4 linked regions of the Caenorhabditis elegans genome follow. The protein of the gene in region 4 interacts with the protein of the main gene of each other region in a pairwise test. Each region holds a gene or a part of one and is shown on either strand. Other genes may lie near its edges.

Region 1 (7,876 bases), 1.1 Mb from region 4:
AGCAGATGATACACCTCCTGATGGTTGGGGTCCCGTCTGGAAAAGGTTTTTGTTGTTTTGAAATCAAAAAATCGATAATTTAATTTTATTGATTTTTTGAAGGTTGAATTTTTCAGAAAAGCCGATATTGAATTTTTGATTTTTACTGAAGCTTAAAAAATCGACAGGTTTACACATTTTATCGGTTTTTATCGCCGGCGGAAAATCAATAATTTTATCGATTTTATCTCCGGCGGAAAATCAAAAACTCCAAAAACTTTGTTTTCTTAAAATATAAAAATTATCGATTTTTCGAATTTTTTGAAAATTATCAAGTATTTTTTCTAAATTTGGAGGAAAATATAACGATTGTTTTTGAATTCTGCAAAATTATCGATTTTTACATTGTTTATCTATAGAGCGCGTTAGCCACAGTAGGTATGACCTACATTCAACTGAGCCATTAAATGCTCCAATTGCATCATTAATTCTCTCCTCCTCTGTTGCATTTCAAACATTTTCTCTTCCAATTCCATTTTCCGGTCGCGGAGCCCGGCGAGCCCGTCATCGGAAGTTGTTTGGCTCTCCAGTCGAGCCATTTCCCGTACCATCATTGAATTTTCTTCTTCCAGTTGAGCAATAAGGGTCCGTTCGTCTCCGACCATTGAACTATTCATACTTCGACCGTTTGATAGGGGATACTGCAATTTATTGATTTTTAAAAAGAAAAATCGATAATCGATCAAATTTTATTAAATCAATAATTTGACTTTCTGCCGCCGGCGGAAAATCAATAATTTTATCGATTTTTTTGATTGCCGGCGGAAAATCAATAATTTAATCGAATTTTATCGCCGGCGGAAAATCAATAATTTTATTGATTTTTTTTGTTTGCCGTCGGAAAATCAAGATGTTTATCGATTTTTTTTATTGCCGGCGGAAAATCAAGATTTTTATCGATTTTTATTGCCGGCGGGAAATCAAGATTTTTATTGATTTTTTCCTGATTTTTTTCGATTAAAAACTCACATCAGCCCTTCCCGACAACTTTGCTGCATATCTCGCAATAAGCTTATGCTCATCATCAATAACTCCTCCATGCGACGCCTGTCCCGGCAGAAGTACCGGTGACGTCGGCCAGTCCGCTGATGACGTGGCAGCGTGTTGCCGGCGGATCGTCGTCGGTGTCGCCGGGACGATGTTGTTCAGGTTTAGCGGTCGAGCAGGTTTGCTGCTGACCGGGCCACCGATTTTTGCGTTAAAAATATCGATGTTTGCATCGCCGACGGTTGACGTGGCAGGAATACATTGGAGACTTTTGTGAATTGAGTGTACGAGCTGTTTTGTCGGCGATTTCTGAAATTACTAAGTTATTGATTTATTGATTTTGGAGTTGAGAACGCTTTTTTCCATAATTTTATCGATTTTTTTTTTGCCCGGCGGAAAATCAATAATTTCATCGATTTTTGATTGCCGGCGGAAAATCTACATTTTTATTGATTGTTTGTTGTCCAGCAATTGATAATTTCTCTGTTAACTAATCGTTTTTGTCGAATGAAAATCGATAACTTTATCGATTTTTTTGATTGCCGGCGGAAAATCAATAATTTTATCGATTCTTCATCGCCGGCGGAAAATCAATAATTTTATCGCGCGCTTTATAGATACATTTTCGTGTACTCCACGTGGAAAATCGATTTTTCAAAAAACTCACATAGCTGGAATATTCTTTCATCTCGTGCTCATTTGAATGATTTTGACTCGTCCTTCCCCGCCAAAAACAGCTTTGACACAACTGATAATTGGCGCATCGCTGACATTTATACCGAAATCCTGTGAAACTTCTGACTTGACACGCATCACACACCACCGGATGGTACACGTTGCTCACAGACGCCATTCGATGTAGCAAGGGGAGCCACATTATGCATGGGGGACATGGATCGCTGGAATATTAATTTTGTATGATTTTTTGATAATTTGACAGAACAGGTTTCAAAGTGTTGGTTGATAAATTTTCAAGAAAATTAACGCAGTGGCTATAGAGTTACACCATTTTGAAGATTCTAGGCCACGGTGAGAACTTCGGTCACCCCGTGGGGGGGGGGGGGGGACCCGTGACCCCATGACAACTAAAATTCGATTTTATTTGATAATTTGATAGAAATTGTTATATAAAGTGTTCTGATAAAGTTTCAAGAAAATCGGCGCAGTGGCTTTAGGGATGCACTGTTTGAAAGTTTCTAGGCCACGGCGAGGACTTCGGTGGCGGCGTGGGGACCCGTGACCCCATGAAAAGAAAAATTCGATTTTTTGATTTGGTTTCATTGAATAAGTTATAGATACAATTATTGCAGAATTAAAAAAAAATTTTTACAGTTTTTCAAAAGTTACACCGCTCTGAAAATCCTAGGCCACGGGGATGCCTTACGTGGCCGCGGGAGGACTTCAGCCCTACGTCTATTATTTTTTCTAATTTTTCAAAATGTTAGGTGTTTCAGAACTTCCAAGACACCTAAATTATTATTCTGGGTGAGTTGAGGGACTGGTTTTCCCCCCGATGGGAGAGGAAATGCATTTTCTCTTTCGCGCGTGGTGTCAGAGTGTCTCATTTCGGCGTGATCTACGTAGATCTACAAAAAATGCGGGAGAAGAGACGTAGAGTTCTCAACTGATTTCACATGATTAAGAACGTGCTGACGTCACATTTTTTGGGCGAAAAAATTCCCGCATTTTTTGTAGATCAAACCGTAATTGGACAACCTGGCACCACATGCTAACGTAGTTTTGTGTAAAAGGTTAATTTTTTCAAAACTTTTTCAAAACTTTTTCTAAAATCTATTTTTTTATTTATTTCCAAAATTGATATCTACCTCAAAAAAGTGTCCAGAAACACATTCAAAGATACTTTCTCATCCTTATGAAAGCACTGATTAACCGCGTTTTCGGAAAATCCAAACGTCGGTGCTTCGAAAACTGCAGTGGTTAGGGAGAGGATTTGTTGCAAAAAATCAGTAAATTTAATATGATCCATTAATCCATTCGAATCAGCGATTTGAGAGAAAATGTCTGAAATTTCAGATTTTTTTTTGAAATTCGCAAGCGCAACTCACATCTCAGCTTGTCCACCAATTTTCCAGCGCAGAGTGTTGCCAACGCGACTTTTATTGAAAAAACCGTCAAACGTCCGGTATTTTGTCTGAAAAATTGGCTTTTGAAGCGTGTGACGTCACTTCTAGGTAGCGGAATATCGGAGTGTCGTTGTGAGAATTACAGCCTAACTGCGCACGGGGTTTTGGCCTTCCTCATTGAATTTTTCGCGCTCCATTGATAATCGCCTGCCGGACGGGAAAGTCGTGTACTCCACACGGACAAATACATTTAGTTTTACAACTAAAATCGAGCCGCGACGCGACACGCAACGCGCCGTAAATCTACTGGCCTAGTTCGGCAAAAACTCTTCCATTTCAATTTATGAGGGAAGCCAGAAATCCGTGACTTTATCAAAAAAAAATTTTTTTGCAAAGTGTCCTTATATGAATAAAAATTCACTGGGAAATTTTAATTCCAGAGATATGAAACCCTGAGATTTTTTCTGCTCTTTCAGTCAATTTTCATTTTTGAAAAATCAAAACATTATGCTGAAAACAAAAAAAAACAGAAAAAATTTCGGATAGTTGAAATCTGTGGGAACCAAATTCCGGTGGAATGTGAAATTCCGCGGATCCGAAAACCGGAAATTTTCTTTCAGTTTTAGGATTTTAAATTTTTTCATATATTACCAAAATTTCTGTTATTTACAGAACATGTGTAGATTGAATCCCGTAGATTCCAATACGCGGAATCAAAATTCTTAGGGAATCTAGATTCTGGAGACACGAAAACCCGAATATTTTTCGTTATTTTTTGCAGTAAAAATTGGAATTCTAAATACACAGTTTTCACGCAGTAACACAAGAAAAAATTCTTAGAATTTCGAATTTGCCGAATCTAAATTCCTGGGGAATCTGGGTTCCGGGGATTCAGAAGCGTGAGTTTTTTGTCCGAGAGGAGTCCAAAACTCACTTATCATAAGCACCTAACAAAAACGCGAGTAGCAAAGAAATCGATACATCCGTGTCCACATGTTGTGACGCTACAAGTCTTTTATTCAAATTGTGGAATACTGTAGTTAGCAGAAGCTCGGCGCGTGACGTTTTGATCTGAAAATTTCCCCCACATTCTCAATAGAGCACACTTGCAACATACCACAGTATGTAGGGGTAATGCATTGAGTCCGTTTTCTCGAAAAGCTTCAATCATATTCCAAATATCTACCAAATGAACTTTCGTCTTTTGTTGAATAAATCGCAGTTTACAGGCGGCTCGATACGTGGCAAATCTGATGGAGTCGAAATCTTGGAGACCTGAAAATGCGCTCTATTGATGATTCAACTTTTTTTCTGAACTTTGGGCATTAACCAATGAAAGCCAATAATTTTTTTGCACTTTTTCGCAAAGAAGAATTATTTATAAGCTTCCCTTTCTCAAGAGGAGTAGCGGAAAAATTCATGAATTTTCAAAAAAAAACTCGGGTAGTTGATATCCACAAAATTCTTAGGGAATTTTCGATTCTGTAGAATTGGATACCGGAATTTTTAGGGTTTTTTTTTTGGATTTTTTTTGAAGGTATTTCCGTGTTTTTTCGACAACATTGAGCATTGAGAAAAAATGTTTTTAAAAAAGTCGGGTAGTTGATATCCGCGGAAACAAAATTCACGGGATTTTTATGCCGCGGAATTGGAAACTCGAGTTTTTTGTTCTTTTTGCGGCGAAATTTTTGCTTCCACTCGTTTGTTATTTTATCCAGACCCTGACTAATTTTCATAGAAAAAAATCCGAAAATTTTATTCCCCGAATGCCAAATTCCCTGGAATCTGGATTCCCGTGAAATTTCGATAATGGGGGATTTGAAAACGCGGAGTTTTTTGACATTTTTTGTTGTGTTAACTTGTAAATTTCATGAACATTTTGGAGAGTGTATCAACTTTGAGCATTTCGTATAAATTTTGTTTTAAAAAATCCAGTAAATTCAAATCCACAGAGTACTTAATTCCAGGGAACTCTAAATTCCGACGACTTAGAAACGTGGAAATTTTTCCGTTAATTTTTTACATAATAAGGTATTTTTTCTACTTTTTCTTTGAAAATTTCCGAAAATTCAAATCCACCGAAAAAAAATCCCAGAGAAAATAAAATTCCGGAGAATCAAAAACGCGGGAATTTTTTGCGTTTTTTAACCAATTTTTCCATGAAAAAATTGAAATTGGAATTGAGAAAAATGGTAAAAAATTTGGGTAGTTAATATCCACGGAAACAAAATTCCCGGGAATTTTTATTCCGCTAAATTGGAAACTCGAGATTTTTTGTCCTTTTTCGGCGAATTTTGAGTTTCCACGTAATTTTCACATTTTCTGCAAAAATTTATATTTAAAAACTCAGAAATCCAAATACGCGGAAGCGAAATTCCAGGGAAATTGGATTCCGTAGATTCAAAAACGTGAATTAAAAAAAAAATTTTTTTGCTGTGCTAACTTGAACATAAATTTGAAAAAAATTTTAAAGAAAAAAAATCCCGTAAATTCAAATCCACCGAGTACTTAATTCCAGGGAAATCTAAATTCCGAAGACTTAGAAACGTGGAGATTTTCCGTTAATTTTTTTTACATAGTTAGGTATTTTTTCTACTTTTTCTTTGAAAATCTCTAATGAAAAAAGATTTATTGAAAATTTCCGAAAATTCGAATCCACCGAAAAATAATCCCATAGAAGTTAAAATTCCGGAGAATCAAAAACGCGGGAATTTTTTAGCGTTTTTTAGCCAATTTTCCCGCAAAATTGAACACCCACGCATTTCATCAATCAATTGTTGCATTTCAGATGCCACAATTGGTGGTACAGAATGCATTGCACGATGATGGTCTGGTGATGGTGCACTGCTCGGCTCACGTGGTCCTCCTCCACCATTTGACCACAACATTTCAGGAGAAAAACCCAGAGTGTCTGAAATTTAAAATTTAAATTTTAAATCAATTTTAAAAAAATTTAAACCAAAACTCCACCCACAAAATGGCTGGCCAGAGCTAAAAAGTGGTAGGGTTTAAAACAAAGAAAATTGGGGGAGCTCTGGCTCCTAGTGGGCGGAGTCTAACTCTGGGAGAGAAGACATTTGGGGGGAGCCTAATGGGTTTTGCATGTATGCGCGCTGATTTGCTTGGCACATTACTAAGCCAATATGTTTCAGGGAACCAACGAGGTTGTCCACGAGGAGTACAAAAAATATTTTTGGGGAATTTCGACTCCGCGGGATTTTAAATCTCAGGATTGAGAGAAAAATAATAACGGTCACGTGGTATCAGGTTGTCCCATTACGGCTTGATCTACAAAAAATGCGGGAATGAGAAATCAGTTGAGAACTCTGCGTCTCTTCTTTTCCCTCATTTTTTGTAGATCTACGTAGATCAAACCGAAATGAGACACTCTGACACCACGCGCGTAAGAGAAAATGCATTTCCTCTCCCATTGACACCACTTGAATCCCGGTAAATCAAAATCCCAGGGAATTTCGATTCCGCGGATTTGAACTCCCGGGGGCGTTTTGTAGAAATTTGTTCAATAAGCGTTGAAATCCACGGAAACTTGATTCGCCGGAATTTTCGTTTCCGTGGATTTCAACTACCTTACGGTTTTTGAGCTAAAATTTTTTTAGGTTGAAATTCGCGGAAACTTGAATTCCGGAGAATTTTGATTCGGCAGAAATTGAATTTGTGAAAAAAGTTTTTTTTCTAATCGGGTAGTTGAAATCCCCCGAAACTGGAATTTCGCGTGTTTCAGGTTTTTAAGCGAAATAGGCCCAAACTTGTCCACGAGAACTACACAGAGTATTCAAAAAAAGTTCTTTAAAAAAAATATTTTCAAAAAATACAACAAAAAACTTGCTTTTTTCCACGCGGAGTACACAATTTAAAGCCTTTTTATCATTAGAGCGTGTTTGTATAAACAATTTATAAAAAAATTTCAATAGAGATTTCCACTAAAGAAAACTTCAAAATTCGGATTAAAAATTTGTCCAATAGAGCGCGATTGCATTGCAACAACATACGAATTTTCAGGTAATATTGCCATTAAAGCGCGATTGCAGCAATAATTTTTAGAAAAATGTTGAAAAAAAAGGGAAAATCGAGCCAAAAATACACGAATTAAAAATTAATTCGTGGTATACGCTTTTGCTCTCGGAGCACTCAAGGGAACACTGGAGAAAGTGAATTTAGGCAAACGTGAGTGAGAGAGAGAGACTTAGAGAAATAGAGAGTATTAGAGAAAGAGAGACACAAGACGGATCGATGTGCAAAAGGAGAGGAGGGGGGGGGGGGAGACGTATTGGCTCAGAGAGCAGCGGTGGGATGAATGTGAGCATACGGAGAAAGATGGAGAGAGAGAGAGAGAGAGAGAGAGAGAGAGAGAGAGAGAGTGCAGAGAAAAAGAGATAGGGGGCCCCCACTGAAACATTGGGACCCCTCACCCCATCCGTCTCAACTCAATGAGGTGTAAAAGTATACGCATTATACACAGGGATATTACGAAGTGGATGAGGAAGAGAAAATTAGTGGCCTAAGTTTTTGGATTTTCTAGGCCACGAAATGAAAGAAATTTTGGCTTAACGTGTGTTTGTTTCTCCACTTTCACAATTTTAAAAGGAGGCGGTTTTATGCGGAATGTTTTTTTTTGTTTAAAATTCGTGTAGATCAGGGGTGGGCGACAAATTAATTTGTCGACAAATTCGGCAAATCGGCAAACTGCTGGTATGCCGATTTGCCGGAAGTTTTCGATTCCGGCAATTTGCCGGTTTGCCGATTGC
Region 2 (5,038 bases), on a different chromosome or scaffold from region 4:
TTTTCGTTTTTCGGTTTTTCTATAAAAAAAACCGAAGCCCGGCAGGACTGGACGTTCACAGGATATTGCTCTTTTTCCCCCAACCCAAGTAGATCAAAACCCCTAATGTCCCTTTAACCTATTCCATACAAAATTAGGTCCAATCTCATAAAATTCCTTATTCATCACGTCAATTCCACCACTCAATCACCGTCTTCTTTATTTGAGAGCGGTTCCACCTCATTTCAGACGAAGAGGGCAGAGAAGACAATATATATATATATATATATATATAAAGAAATGAACACATAACATAGTACGACTACTGGAAAAATGAAACACAATTGTAGATTCAGGTTGCAGCAGCAGCAGCAGAAGAATAGGCATGGAAATGGCCAATTAGTACGGGATGGACCCCGATAGTGTGAGGGTGGACGGGGGAGACGCAGAGAAAACCAGTCATCGGGGGATACTGGGATTACCTTTTGCCGTGAAAAAAAGAGGATTGTACAGGCAACCGGGGGCAATCCCATTGTTATCCACCTAATCCTATTTGCCACCATTAAAATGCGCTTCGTGTTCCGAAGTGGGGGGGGGGGGGGGGGAATTCGAAACTTTTGAAACTTTTTAGAGTGGCCGATGATGGAGAAAATTCGGCCACCAATTTCAGGATTTTTATATGTTTTAGAACATTCAAAAAAATTGCTGAAACTGCCAAAAAATTTAATTTTATAAAAATTGATTTTTTTTCACACTTATTTATTTTTAAATTACCGAAATTTCAAAAAATTCCATTTTTTCAAACTTCATTACTTTCTAAATTTTTAGGATTTTTTAAACGAATTTTTAAAACAATACTCTGGAATTATTTATTTTTTTGGAATTTTTTTTTAATTTTTTTTTTTTATTTTCAAAAATTTTTCCGGTTTTTCAATTTTCACAGAATTTTTTTTTTAATTTTTAAATACATTAAACTTTTTCACGTGGTGTCCGAGTGTCTCATTTCGGTTTGATCTACATATTTCTACAAAAAAAGCGGGAGAAGAGACGCGAAGAGTTCTCAACTGATTTTGCATGGTTAAGAATGTGCTGACGTCACATTTTTTGGGCGAAAAATTCCCGCATTTTTGTAGATCAAGCCGTAATGGGGGGCAGCCTGGCACCACCACTTGTTTTTGAATTTCCAACACAATTTTAAAATATTTTGAAATAAATCAAAATCGATTCGGAATTTTTTTTTTTTGAATTAAAAAATTTGTTTCAAATAATCGATATCCTATTTTTCAATTCTCAGTACATTTTTAGCATACAAACGATAAAATTTAAGAAAAAAAAGTCAAAAACCAACCATTTCAGTCTTGAAAGTGGCTCCTCGGACCTTCGCTCCGTCATATTCCTGGCTCCGCCCACTTTCCACGTGCCAAATGCAACCGATCTGAAAGTTTAAAATTTTTTGGAACTATTTTTCAACTTTTAAGATGTTTTCTTTGGCTTCAAAATAGTACATTTTACATGTTTTTCTGCAAATTTCCCCATGCCGCAACCCTAAAAAACTAACCCTTTTGCCTTCATAAAACATATTGGATTGCGAAATACTCCAAACATGCCAACGTGGATTCGGAAAACTGTTTTTGTCGGAAAGTATCAGAGTTGGAAATGAGGAAAATACGTTAGAATATTATTATTTTGATTTTTCCAACAAAAAATATTTTTAAAAAAATCAGTTTTAAGAAAACTTGAAACGTTGGATTTCACGTCGAGAAATGAAAGAATTATAGGCATTTTATATAATAACAAAAAAGAAAATTAGTTTCGAGAACTGTCATGCCATTTGGGTGGCTAAATGGAAATTGGGAGAAATCGGGAGAGAACCTGAATTGGCAGTTTGCCTCCAACTGTATGTCTATAAGAAGGTATATGTCTACAAATTGTCTACCTACCTGCCTACAAGGTGACCTACGCCTACCTACAAGGCGGCCTGCGCCTACACATATTCCTGATTATATTCAGTGTTAGTTGAACAGATATTTGAAAAATAATATTTAATTGGAAAGTTGAGAAATGTGCAAAAACTAGGCGGTAGGTAGGAAGGCATAGGTAGGCCTGCGACATACGCCTACCTACAAGGCGGCTTGTACCTACACCTTGCCTACACTCTTGCCTACTTACAAATCATTCCTGATTATATTTAGTGTTAGTTGAACAGGTATTTAAACAAAACATTTAATTGGAAAGTTTACGAATGTTCAGAAACTAGGTGGTAGGCAGGCAGGCATGAACAGGCAGTATATACCTCATAGGCAGGCCTACACTCGTCCCTACTTCCTGGTCCCTTTTTTCTCACTGTTTCAGTGTTGAACATTCAAAAAATTACTTCAACTGAAAGGCAGGCATGAGGTAGGCACGTAGGCATGTAACAAAAAATTTTAAAGTTAGAATATTATTGTCATTAAACAAGTAATAGTTCTATATAATATCTTTTTCAATTTAAAAATTGTGCGATTTTTCGAAATATTGTTGATTTTGCCCGATTTGAGCACCATTACTACTTATACTACTAATATCTCAGCTCATTTTGAAAATATCAATAAACTTTTAATTACAAAAATATAGACAATTGTTAAATAAATCTTTTCTTAGTTGACAATTTTTTGATAAAACCAAAACCAACCGAGATATGAACCGGCAAAGTTAGGCTAATCGAACATATTTTCTACCTGAAAAAAAACTACCCAATTTCAAACCAGCAAATTTCCAAAATGGTTAGGAATATTAAAAAGCTGCCAACTGACGTATTTTTCAGAAATTTTTGGGCAACATTTTTAGTTGACAATTTTTTGTGAAAATTTGGAACAACCGAGATATCAGCCGGTAAAATTGAGCTAATTTTTATAAATTTTTAAAAATATTTAAATTTTGCCCAATTCTCACCTGTACTGCCGACGAGCATTGAGCGTTGCCGTCGAGCCCATCATATAGGCGTCAGGCATTTTGTGTGAGTCCCAGGCGTGTGTTTGTAGACGTCAATAGTTCAAATAATTCTGAAAATCATCATTGCAGAAAATTTTAAAAAAAACGAAGCGTATTGGGAGAAAAGGTGAATAGGGTAAAACGAGAGAGTGAATGAATAGAATGGAACGTAAATATATGAGAATAAGAAGAATGGGGCGAGAGAAAGTGTATGTATGAAGAAGCTGAAAGAGGTCACAATATTATGTAGTAGTAGTAGTACTATACCAGAATTTTTGGGTGGTGGCCGAAAAAACCAAAACTCGGCCACCATTTCAAATAGAGTCGGGGTAGGAAAATTTCAAAAATCCTATTATTCTAATAAGCTTGCTAATTTTTTCTGGCTTTTTTTTAAATAGAAATATAGAAAAATATCGGCTGGAGTTTAAATTTTCTGAGAAAAATTTTTGGCGGGAATTTTAATTTTCTGATAAAACCAATTTTGGCGGAAAATTCAAACGACTGGTTTATCTATATTTTTATATAAATTTTAAACAATAAAAATCGACTTAACAATGAGAAAAAGGCGAAGAAAGTGAGGGAAAAATAAATTTTTCAAAAAAAAAGTAAACTTGCGGGAAGAATCATAACTCGGGTCATTTTTTAGATATACAATTTTTTCAATCACAAATACAAAATACATATGAGTCCAAAATTGCATGCATTTTAGTACTCCTCATCTCAAAATCTAACTATAATAGTGGCGGTGGTCATCTCTTTCAAATATCACCCACCCCACTCGAAAGCCCTGGTAATGTGAGAAGCGCGCGAAATTCGAATCTCGCCAATCTGTGATGAGCTGAGACTATATAGTGATGGTGTGGCCGAGTTTTTCAAAAAGGGAGCAGTTTTGTATGTCAAATTTAGTAAAAAATTCCCGAAAACTAGGAACACGGCGGCGGAAGCAGTAAATGATATCGGAAAACGAACAAATAGTTCGTCTTCATCATCAATATGTGTGTGTGTGTGGTGGTGGCAAAATGACATATGTCAACATGGAAAGTGCTTGTTCTTCTCATAAAACTATCGAGACAAATGGCACATGGCGGTCGTGGTGCGGGTCGGCGATAAAAGATGTACCCTCAGGAAATTTGAGCGGAATTTATGCGACAAAGCTTGATAGAACAAGACGCATATGAAAATGAAAAAGTTAATAAAGCAGCCGACACCTCACGGGCGGTAGCGGGAGGTAGCGGGCGGTAGCGGGCGGTAGCGGGCGGTAGCGGGCGGTAGCGGGCGGTAGCGGGCGGTAGCGGGCGGTAGCGGGCGGTAGCGGGCGGTAGCGGGCGGTAGCGGGCGGTAGCGGGCGGTAGCGGGCGGTAGCGGGCGGTAGCGGGCGGTAGCGGGCGGTAGCGGGCGGTAGCGGGCGGTAGCGGTGCTGTAGCAGGGCGGTAGCGGTGCTGTAGCAGGCCGGTAGCGGGCATCAGCAGGCGGTGGCGGGCGGTAGCGGAGTTTTTGTAAAAGCCAGTAAAGTGTCCGCTGCAAATCGTGTTTTCCACGCTGCGGCCGACATCTCACGGGTACAGGGATATCCATAATTTGAACCACCTATTTCTCAGTAACCATGGGAGCTATCAAAAAATTGCCAACTAGCAAAATATTGCCTAAAAAATTGGAAAATTGGTTTCAATTTGCCAGTTAACAAGTTTTTCATAATTTTCAAAACTAAAGAGATATAAATGTTTCAATTGTTTCACCTAAAATCTCAAATTTTTGCCGTAAAACCGTCATAACTCTACTGGTTTTGACGATATAAAAAATTTATCAACTAACAATTTGTAGCCCAAACATTTTCCTACAATTTACTATTTAACAAATTTCTGCTCAAGTGCGTGTCCGCTGAGATACATCAGTTTTGCTTGGGGAGGCAAGGGGTGAACCTCGTAAAACCGGCGGGCGGGGAATAAAAGGGAAGAAACAGATGATAAGGTCATTGAGCATCTGCATGTGCAAGGTTGGATCAAATTTCTCGAGAAGGGGAAAAAGATCAAAAGATTTCGGAGAGTGTACTCCTTTTGGACAATAGTAAAAGCTCAACTCAAAATTGGAT
Region 3 (4,914 bases), on a different chromosome or scaffold from region 4:
TTCTACTTGGAAGTTTTGGCTGAAAATTTTTGAAAAATTTATGAAATCTATAATAAAGTTACTATTTTAAAACTATTTTAAAACACATGGAAAAAAGTTTTTATAAAAAAAAAATTTTTTTCGAAAATTTTTTTTCGAAATTTTTTGCATATTTTTTTTAAACACTCAAACTCACAAACTAGCGTCGTAAAAATAAATAATCAACGATCCAATCGATAAAATGAACACCAAAAGTACCAGAAACCGTCCCGTCAGACTTTGTCCGGATATCAGCTCGCCAGCCCAGTCCTTGGCCTGAAAAATTTGTGAAATTTAGTTTTAAAAATAGGCCAACAAATAATGTGTGGTAATTCTCAACAGGTGTAGGCTACATCAAACTCACTCGGTTCTAGTTTTCAGGGGATAAAGTCCGGAGAAAAACGCTAAAACTACAAAAAACTTCATGTTTTGAAATGAAAATTGAGATTTTCGGAAATATAATTTAATTTAGAGAAATTTCATTGTGAAATTTGAATTTGTGACGTTTCCAGCTTCAATTTGACCCCCATATTGACTATGTTCCGATAAGTTTGAAAAATTGGGGGCGCGGCGCGGTCGCGTCGCGTGCGCAAATTTAGTTGTTAAGTTTCAGTGTGAAAAATGAGTTTTTGTAACTGAAATATTGATTTTCAAGTGCAAATAATATTTATTTATGAGTATTTATTTTGGTTTAACTAGGTTTTGACGAATTTCGCTTCAAAACCGCGACGCGACCGCAACGCAAGCACCAAAAATGAAACTGCTCGGAAACTAGTCAAAATAGGTGTTTAATGAAAGCTGACAATCAGAAGGTTGAAAATCACAATTTCAGACGTTGAAAATTCAGGAAAATTCCAAAATTTTAGAAATTTGGAAAACAATTATTTTTTTGAAATTTTTTTTTTGAAAACTCAAAACCAAACAAAGTCTAATATAACCACACACCTTTAGTTTCAGAGAACAATCCCATCCATATCTACCAAAAATGAAAATAGTCCCGAAAATAAAGTGTGAAAAAGTGTGGGCGGGTGGTGGAGAAGTGCAGCTCCACGTGGCCAAAAAGTGTGCAGAAAAAAATATGCAAAAATATAGAGAAAAATCGGGTTTTGCTGGTCATGCAAATTTCCACATTAACACGACTTAACATTTACGATAGGGAGAAAAGTGTGAAAATTTAGAAAATGCACCCCTGTGGGGACAAATCGGGGACATGGGTCACTTTGCGAGACTTCTAGTTGAAAAATTCGAATTCTCCGTAAAATTTGCGTTTCAACAACCCCCATATCGATCATATTTGAGAAATTGGTAATTTTGGCTTAATTCGGCCTCAAACGGCCTGAAACGGCCCGAAATCATTGCATATTTCAAATTTGTCTGAGCATAGGCAATATGGGTGTCAAAATTTTGGAAATTTCACGGAGTGTATGAATTTCCTGTTGAAAATGGTCCCGGAGTGTCCCATGTCCCAAAATTGTCCCCACAGGGGTTCATTTTTGTAAAAATTTTTTTTTTTTTTTTTTTAATTCAGCAAACTTCAAATAATAAAATAAATAATAAAAAAAAATGCGATAACTACAAAAGCAAAAAAAAAAACATTTCCTGAAAGTTTTCGGAAAAATAGAAAAAATGCGGGGTAAGGGGGAACATTTTCCACATTTTCCATAAAAATCAGTGAATTTTTCAGAAAACTTTTGGACTTGCCCTGCGGTCCCGAATACTTCTGTAAAGCTGCATCGCTAGAGAATCCTAAAAATAAGAACAAGCTCCGCCCACTTTTTTCGTGCATATTTTTTTCGGTTTTTTTTTTGAAATTTTTTTTGTTGAATTTCATAAATTTGAAAAAATGTAGAAAATTGAAAATAGACAAAACTTAACTTAAAATAAACAAAAATTAGGCGGGAATTTGAATTTTTTAGGTATTTTTTTAAATTTTTTTTGTTCAAAAACCCACTTCTGTCATCCATCCCAAGTGTTTTTCCTCTTGTTGCTTCAAAAACGGGTCGGTTTCACTTGGCGCGTGCTTCGACCCGTTCATATTTATTTGGACGGCTTCCGGAGCAGGTATGGGCTCCACAAACTCTTTTTCTCGGCGTTGACAGCACAGGTGTGTCACCACTCGCCATATTACGACCAATATCATTGAGGCGCAGAATGTGGTGATGCTGAAAATATTTTTGTTGGATTTGGAAGAGTGAGAGCTTTAAAATACGCCCCATATTGGATAGTTTTGGAGGCGTTTGAGATTTTGGGTGCAAAGCGGTCGCGTCGCGGTCGGAATTTTTTTAAAAACAAATTTTTAATATTGTCTATCTCTGACACTTTTAACTTGATACTTTGAGTTTGTGGCTTCATGAGCTTCAAAATACGCCCCATATTGGATAGTTTTGGAGGCGTTTGAGATTTTGGGTGCAAAGCGGTCGCGTCGCGGTTTCAAAGTTTCAATTTTGAGAACAGACCATTTTGGCCTGTTGAAAATGAACTATTTATGTTGGTTACGTCGCTAGCTTCAAAATAAGCCCCATATTGACTGGGTTTGGAGCATTTTGAGATTTTGGGTCACGCGGCGAGGTTGCGTCGCGGTCGCACCACTGTCAAAAGTGTTTACTCTTGCTTTGAATTAGTTCATTTTGAATTAATTTTCAATAATTTTTGAAGTTTTGTAGTTAATAAAGCCTAATTTTTCAAAATTTGACAATTTTAGTTTTCAACCGCGACGCGACCGCGCCGCGTCCGAAATTTAAAACTACATCAAATTATATCAAGATGGGGGTCAATTGAAAGCTGGCAACCTCAGAAATTCGAATTCACTAGTTTCAGCTCAATATTCCTTACCTGCTCAGTAAAAAACACCAATATTTGCGCTCCTCCAGGCACTTTCGATCTTCTTCAGTCATCTCCATGAATACTCGACTAAGGTTACAATTCATCGGGTATCCATATGGTTGATTGAAGCCCTTCGACTGCGAAGGCGAGTAAATCTCGCCCATCGTGTCGACGAAGGGTCCACCCGACGGCTTTCGGCGAGTCTGAAAATTTTTTGGAAATTTTTTTTTGTCTCAAAAAAAAAAAACTTTTCCCAAAAGCCCAAAGAAGTTTAAAAATCTCATAAAATATGCTCATTTTCTCACGAAGAAAAATGATGTCATCACCAGAAACTAGTGGTGGTGGGGACAAAAAGCGGAAAAAGTAGTGTGTAGAGTGAGAAAAGAATTAGGTCGGAGCAGCGAGGCCTTCCCTCCCGACGAATAAATGAACATAATGGACCAGTTAGGCTGGAGAAAATAGTAGAGACGTAGAGCGTGCCTAGACATATCTGTCATTTTTCCTGACAAACTCCCCGGAAATTTCACGTATCCCACGTATTTTTGACTGAAAATGTCCGGCTCTGGGGGACATGGTGCATCGAGAAAATCGGGAAATTTTGAAAATTTCTATCAATATTCGACTTTTAAACGCAATCTAGGAGTAAAAAGCCGCCTGAATTTGACTTCATAAATGGCTCAACTTCAATTTTAAAAAATGAGTTATTTGCCAAAAAGCCTAAAAAAAAAAGAACATGGTACATCGACCAAAAGCTCAATTTCCTCAAAACTCCAGATTTATAATAGGTATATTTTATATTCTGGTTTTTCGATGGTAAAATGCCACAGGGAGCCCCGCCATTATTCATCGAAAACCAGCAAAAAACTTGATGAATTGCTGTTCTGGAACACAAGTTTTGGAAAAAAATAAATAAATGAACAACAACTTTTTTTTTGCTTTTCAACAAAAAATTTTGGCGGGAATTTCAAATTTTTTGAGAACAACATTTTGGCGGGAAATTTGAATGTTCTGAGAATTAATGTTGGCAGGAAATTCAAATTTTAATAATTTATAATTTATAATTTTATAATTTAGGAAAAGGAATTAATGTCTGAGAAAATTGGTAGGAAATTCAATTTCACATTTTTTCAGAAAAATTTCGGCGGGAAATTCAAATTTTCCTAGAATTAATGTTGGCAGGAAATTCAAATTTTAATAGAATTAATTTTGGCAGGAAATTAAAATTTCTGAGGAACATTTTAGAGGAATGTTCAAATTTCCACAGAAAAACATTGGCGCAAAATTCAAATTTTCTTACAATTAGAAAAATTTTGGCGGAAAATTCAAATTTTTTGAGAAACATTTTGGTGGGAAATTTAAACTTTCTGAAAAAAATTTTTGGCGGGAAATTCAAATTTTCTCTGAAAAATTTTGGCGGTAAATTAAAATTTTTCTAGAACTAATTTTGGCTGGAAATTTGAATTTTCTCAGAAAAAGTTTGGCGGGGAAATTCAAATTTCCTTAGAATTAATTTTGGCGGGGAAATTCAATTTTTTTCAGAAAAATATTGGTGGGAAATTCAATTTTTGCAAACAAAAAAAAGTAGATCAAAATCTAAATTAAAAGTTGAAAATTTATGAGAATTAGAAAATTGAACACATAGTACTTAATGGGTTAGTGTATGGAGCTGGAGAACGTGTGTGTGTGTGTGAGTGTGCAAAAATATCAAGATATATGGAGGAAGGGGGAGAAAAGAAGAGTTACACTACACATTCTCCCCCCTCCTCTCTTCTCATCCCCCTCCTCAACCTTTCTCTGGCTCCCCCTCCCTCCCTGCACAGAGAGATGGATCAATACACCCCTCCGTCCGTCCGGCAATAGCAGAAGCTGCTGCTGCTGCTCGTGGTGCTCCGCGAGCCAGAAGAAGAAGCTGAAGCATTTGGAATGCGTAAGAGATGTGTGTCTGCGTCTCCAACGACCTCATTTTAGGAGGAGAAGCTGCCTGGAAAATTGGCGGAAAACGGGAGGGAAGGAACTTTTTTTGTTTTGGGAATATTCAATTTAACATGTTTAGGCTGGGGGAACTGGAAAAAA
Region 4 (4,659 bases):
TTTGATAAAACTTCGAAAAATTTGGTGGTAGGCTTTTGTAAATTTCTGTCATTTTTTTTCGTAATTTTTGTAACTTTTTTCGACATTTTTTGGTAAGTTTTTTTTTCCATTTGTTAGAAATTTTTTTTTTTTGGTAAATTTTGGTCGTTTTAACCAATGTTTGGCTTTCTTTTTGACTATTCTAGACAATTAATTTTTCAATTTTTCGGCATTTTTTGCCAATTTTTGAAAAATGTCCTACTATTTTTTGGCAATTTTTGGTGAATTATTTCCTTCACTTTTTTTGTAGATTTTTGTACATTTCTGACGTTTTTTGGCCAATTTTCGGTTTTTTTTTCCGTAAATTTTGGTAATTTTTTTTCGGTTTTTTTTCCATTTTTTCGGTAAATTTTGGCCAATTTTTTGAGCAATTTTGTACATTTTCATACAATTTTCGTCAATTTTTAGTTATTTTCGCTGAATTTTCACAATTTTTTCCGCAAATTAAAAAAAAATTTTTTGGCAATTATTGATAATTTTTCCTATTTTTTGGTAGATTTTTGTGGTTCTTTAGTGATTTTTTGCCAATATTTGGTGGATTTTTGTCTTAATTTTTTTTTTAATTTCAAGATTTTTTATCTTTATTTTTTAAGGAATTTTGTCGATTTTGCAGAATGAAATTTGTCAGAAAATTTTCAAATAATTTTTGGAAATTTTGAAAAATTAACATTTTTCATCTGTCTCACCTTATCCTCGGCCCTCAAAACCTGCTTGACAAGCACCCGATCCGCGAGTAGCAGGACTCTGGTGACACTGCTCAAGAGCTGCCTGCTGGCTCGGACGAGCACAGCTTTATCCACCACCGAGTTGGGATCATCGTTACATGCACATGATAGGTTGGCCATTGAAGCACCTGAAAAATATCGGATTTTTATATTTGATCTCAGAAACTGGCAGGAAATTTGGCTTTCCACAGATCAAAGGTAAGAGCTCTCTCGGACTAAACAAGGTCCCACACACTTTGCAAAAAAATGGAGAGGCTCTGGTAATTGGATACGTGAGCATGGATTTGTGCTCTTTTTCTTCGTGTATACATAGATGACGATGGAATAATCACACCCATTGAGTGTTTCATGTAATATGACACCCCGCCGGGGTGAAGAAATGAGGTGCCTTTCTTTGTTTCAGTTGAGAGAAGGGGGTCTATAAGCTATTTTATCTTAATCCGTAGTTCTCATAAGGGGGTGGGCGGCAAACGATTTTTTTCCGGCAAATTGGCAAATTGCCGGAATTGAAATTTCCGGCAAATCGGCAAACCGGCAAATGGTTTTGCACAATTTTTTGGAAATTTCAGAGTTTCAATTTTAATCGGCAGTTTTTTTGGAAGTTTTAAAAATTTTCTTCAAAAACCACCAGTTTTCCCAGATTTTCACAATGACTTTTTTGTATCAAAAAATAAATTTACCAGCTAGCCGAGCTTCAGTACACGCATCATACATTTCCGGCTGAATATCCGCGTTCTCGTCGGCTATCGTCTCTCCAACACACACAAACCGTTCGATTGCTGCCTCAACGGCGCTTCCGATCTGAAAACAGGAAAAGTTTAAAAAAATTAAAATTTTCCACAAAAATTTGTAAATTCTATCCAAACTGGGTTTGTCCGTTCCATGCTAATATTGATATTTAAAAAATTTTGTTTAGAAAACTGTTATAATATAAAATTAGGATACCTTATCATTTACAAAATTCTGAGAATGCGTATTGTGAAACATATTTGACGCGCAAAATATCTCGTAGCGAAAACTACAGTAGTTCTTTAAATAAGTACTGTAGCACTTGTGTCGATTTACGGGTTCTATTTTCGAAAATAATTACTTTCCGAATTACGAGAGCGATATTCCATATATTCTATTGATAAATAAATAGTTTTGATTTATTATTATTTTAGAAATTGAGCCCGTAAATCGACACCAACGCGACAGTAGTCATTTAAATAATTACTGTAGTTTTCGATACGAGATATTTTGCGCGTCAAATATGTTGCACAGTACGCATTCTCCAAATTTTGTGTTTGCCGTAATATTTTGGTCAATATTTTTAAAAAAGTTTCTATGATAAAAAATTACAATTTTCAAATTTTCGAGATTTTTTAATGTTCCACAGAAATTGTTTTAAAACAAATTTCAGAGATTTTTTAAAGGTTTTTTAATGCCTATAGTTTAGTTAATAATTCAAATTTTAATTTTCCCAGGAAATGATCAGAATTTCCGATTTTTGTGTTATTTTTTTTAGGAATCTTTCAACATTTTCCGGGGAAAATTCTTCAATTTCTTCTTATAATTTTCAGAATTTTTCTGTCTAAAAATTACACAAAAGAAAAATTAGTTTTCTCAACTTTTATTGATCAATTTTCAATTAAAACTTCTTTTTTTTAAATTTCACTTTTTCCAGATTCAGATTAAAAAATTTCCAACAAACCTTCAACGCTGCTCTCATTGCTCGTTCAGATTTCGGCTTCCCACTTGCCATGTAACTTTCTTTATAGTTGACGAGTGTGGTGATCTATAAACGAATAAATAAATAAATCGTGCCAAATGGGCCGTCAAACGACGGAAATGAACATGGATAATCGCCCAAAGAAAGGGTGATGTCATTTTTTGCAGCGCCAAAGTAGAATCTTTTAGGATGTTCGGTAAAAGTTTTTAGGTCATGTGTGACGTCACAAAAAATTTAGGTCACTAGTGACGTCATAACTTTCACAAAATTTTTTGCGGGGGTTTCTAGGCCCCGTAAGACATTTTTCAATTAAAAAAAAATTAAAAATTCTTTATAACTCCCTACCTGAGTAACTAGCGGGATAAGTGTCTGCTCTATGGATTTTGTCTTAATTTCCAAATTTCGAGCATCAAACGGCGGGACCACAGAGTTCGAGGACGGCATTGCCGTCGTGTGATATGAGGACGTCAACGATGACATCGATGACGCCGCCATCTTCTTGGCAAGATGACCGCCGCGCCTACCTGGAATTTTCATATTAAAATTGATTGAAAAAGTATGAAATTCAGCAAAAAATCAAAAAAAAACGGAGGAAATCGGTTAGAAATTGGAGGAATTAAAATGAATGAGAGTCGGGTAAAAGTCTGAAATTTTTGTTTCAAAGCCCCAAAATATTTTTTAAAAAATTAGTGAATTTGTATCCCCAAAATTCGAAATTCACTTTATGATTTTGAAGGCTTTTTGGCCAAAAACTGAAGTTTAAAAAACGAAAAATTAAAAAAATCAATTTAATTTTTTTCAAACTATTTTTATCAAGATTTTCCAAAATATATTTGAATTAATTTTTTTATTTAAAAAAAATCAGGAAATCCGGTAAAAAAGACCCTGGATAGGCTAAGCGCCTTTAAACTTTTGGTACTATAAAACAGCCGGTAAACCGGCAAGACGGAGAAAATTGCCGAAATTTAAAATTTCCGGCAAATCGGCAAATCGGAAAAAATTGCCGGAATTAAAAATTTCAGGCAAGTTGGCAAATTGTCGGAATTGAATATTTCCGGCAAATCGGAAAATTGGAAAAAATTGCCGGAATTGAAATTTCTGGCAAATTGGCAAATCGGAAAAAATTTCTGGCAAATCGACAAATCGGAAAAACTTGCCGGAATTGAAATTTCTGGCAAATTGGCAAACCGGCAAATTTTTCCTGTGAATGTTCCTACATATGTTCCTACATCTGAAAAGTAAACGGCAAATTGGCAATTTTCCAAAAATCGGCAATTCGCCCAATTTATTGACAGAAAAAATTTGCCGACCTTTCAAAATGTCTTTCTTTAAAAAAAAAAATTTAATCTATTTTTTATATCAGAAAAAAAGGCGGAAAAAATTTTTCATTGCCCAAAATAGGCTATGCGCTTTTAAACTTTGAGTATTGTACCCGCTTTCTTTTTGAAAGTTTGATTGAAAAATCTAAATTTTCCTTGGTTCAAAACCAATTTTTTTTAGAAAAAAAGGAGCATGGAATATAAGTGGAACACTTTCGGCAATAAGAAAAAACAAAAAAAAACAAATCTGTGGGGTAAAAACAAAACCCGGAAGAGAGGGAAAAATGAGAAAGGAGATGGTATCAAGAGAACTGTCTCAAGAGGATTTCCAGAAAAGTGACCACGGGGAGCCCGGTGGTTGTTGTGCTCAACAGAGGGTGACTAAAAGGCAGAGGGCACTTTGTGTTCTTGCTCCACCGCCGTCGCCGCTGCTGCTGCTGCGGCTCCCCATCTGCGAGAGCTCTTGTGCTCCGGACACAGAGAGGGAGAGGGAGCAAGAGTGTAAAGTGGGGCTCTCTCTCTCTCTTGCCAGTTTCTTCTTCTTCTTCTTGTCGCCGCGGCGCGGACTAGAAGTGAGAAGAAGAAAAAGAAGAAGAAAGAGAAAGAGAGATGGATGGGTGACGACTACGAACCGATCACCCGAATCGATTAGAAACATATTATTATTTTATGAGGGGGCCATTAATGTGAACAGGGGTGGGTGTTGTAGTGCTGGCCTAGGATTTTTTTCCTCTTCCATTATTGCAAGAGGGGTGGTTTGCACACTGGCTGGAAATGACCTAGAATTTTTTTTGTGGGAATTTTTGTTGAATTGAAATTTCCGGCAAATCGGCAAACCGGCAAATTTCCGGAAATTTTCGGCAAT

The links.
Region 1: the proteins of ctn-1 (region 4) and dyb-1 interact in a two-hybrid assay, tested with the Caenorhabditis elegans proteins (one study listed by BioGRID).
Region 2: the proteins of ctn-1 (region 4) and ZK131.11 interact in a two-hybrid assay, tested with the Caenorhabditis elegans proteins (2 studies listed by BioGRID).
Region 3: the proteins of ctn-1 (region 4) and slo-1 interact in a two-hybrid assay, tested with the Caenorhabditis elegans proteins (2 studies listed by BioGRID, with this or other methods).

The regions. Positions count from the first base shown.
Region 1 is NC_003279.8:1,481,228-1,489,103, reverse strand, and holds the start of dyb-1 (Dystrobrevin-1), read right to left. Parts: upstream 6,022-7,876; 5' UTR 5,999-6,021; coding exon 5,869-5,998; intron 4,386-5,868; coding exon 4,228-4,385; intron 4,182-4,227; coding exon 4,045-4,181; intron 3,251-4,044; exon of another isoform or gene 3,179-3,250; coding exon 3,093-3,178; intron 3,049-3,092; coding exon 2,853-3,048; intron 1,926-2,852; coding exon 1,694-1,925; intron 1,498-1,693; exon of another isoform or gene 1,477-1,497; intron 1,336-1,476; coding exon 1,009-1,335; intron 681-1,008; coding exon 429-680; intron 37-428; coding exon 1-36. UniProt on the Caenorhabditis elegans protein: Plays a role in cholinergic transmission and as a functional partner of dystrophin (dys-1), necessary for muscle maintenance. Required for localization of ctn-1 near dense bodies in muscle cells.
Region 2 is NC_003280.10:13,790,211-13,795,248, reverse strand, and holds the start of ZK131.11 (TORC_N domain-containing protein), read right to left. Parts: upstream 3,021-5,038; 5' UTR 2,970-3,020; coding exon 2,911-2,969; intron 1,415-2,910; coding exon 1,328-1,414; intron 1-1,327.
Region 3 is NC_003283.11:18,490,397-18,495,310, reverse strand, and holds the start of slo-1 (BK channel), read right to left. Parts: upstream 3,006-4,914; coding exon 2,851-3,005; intron 2,181-2,850; coding exon 1,970-2,180; intron 1,765-1,969; coding exon of another isoform or gene 1,720-1,764; intron 295-1,719; coding exon 176-294; intron 20-175; coding exon 1-19. UniProt on the Caenorhabditis elegans protein: Potassium channel activated by both membrane depolarization or increase in cytosolic Ca(2+) that mediates export of K(+). Its activation dampens the excitatory events that elevate the cytosolic Ca(2+) concentration and/or depolarize the cell membrane.
Region 4 is NC_003279.8:2,605,094-2,609,752, reverse strand, and holds the start of ctn-1 (Alpha-catulin), read right to left. Parts: upstream 3,013-4,659; coding exon 2,821-3,012; intron 2,542-2,820; coding exon 2,458-2,541; intron 1,566-2,457; coding exon 1,445-1,565; intron 893-1,444; coding exon 726-892; intron 1-725. UniProt on the Caenorhabditis elegans protein: Required for slo-1 potassium ion channel clustering at presynaptic terminals and in egg-laying muscles; clustering of slo-1 mediates the intoxicating and sedatory effects of ethanol on worms.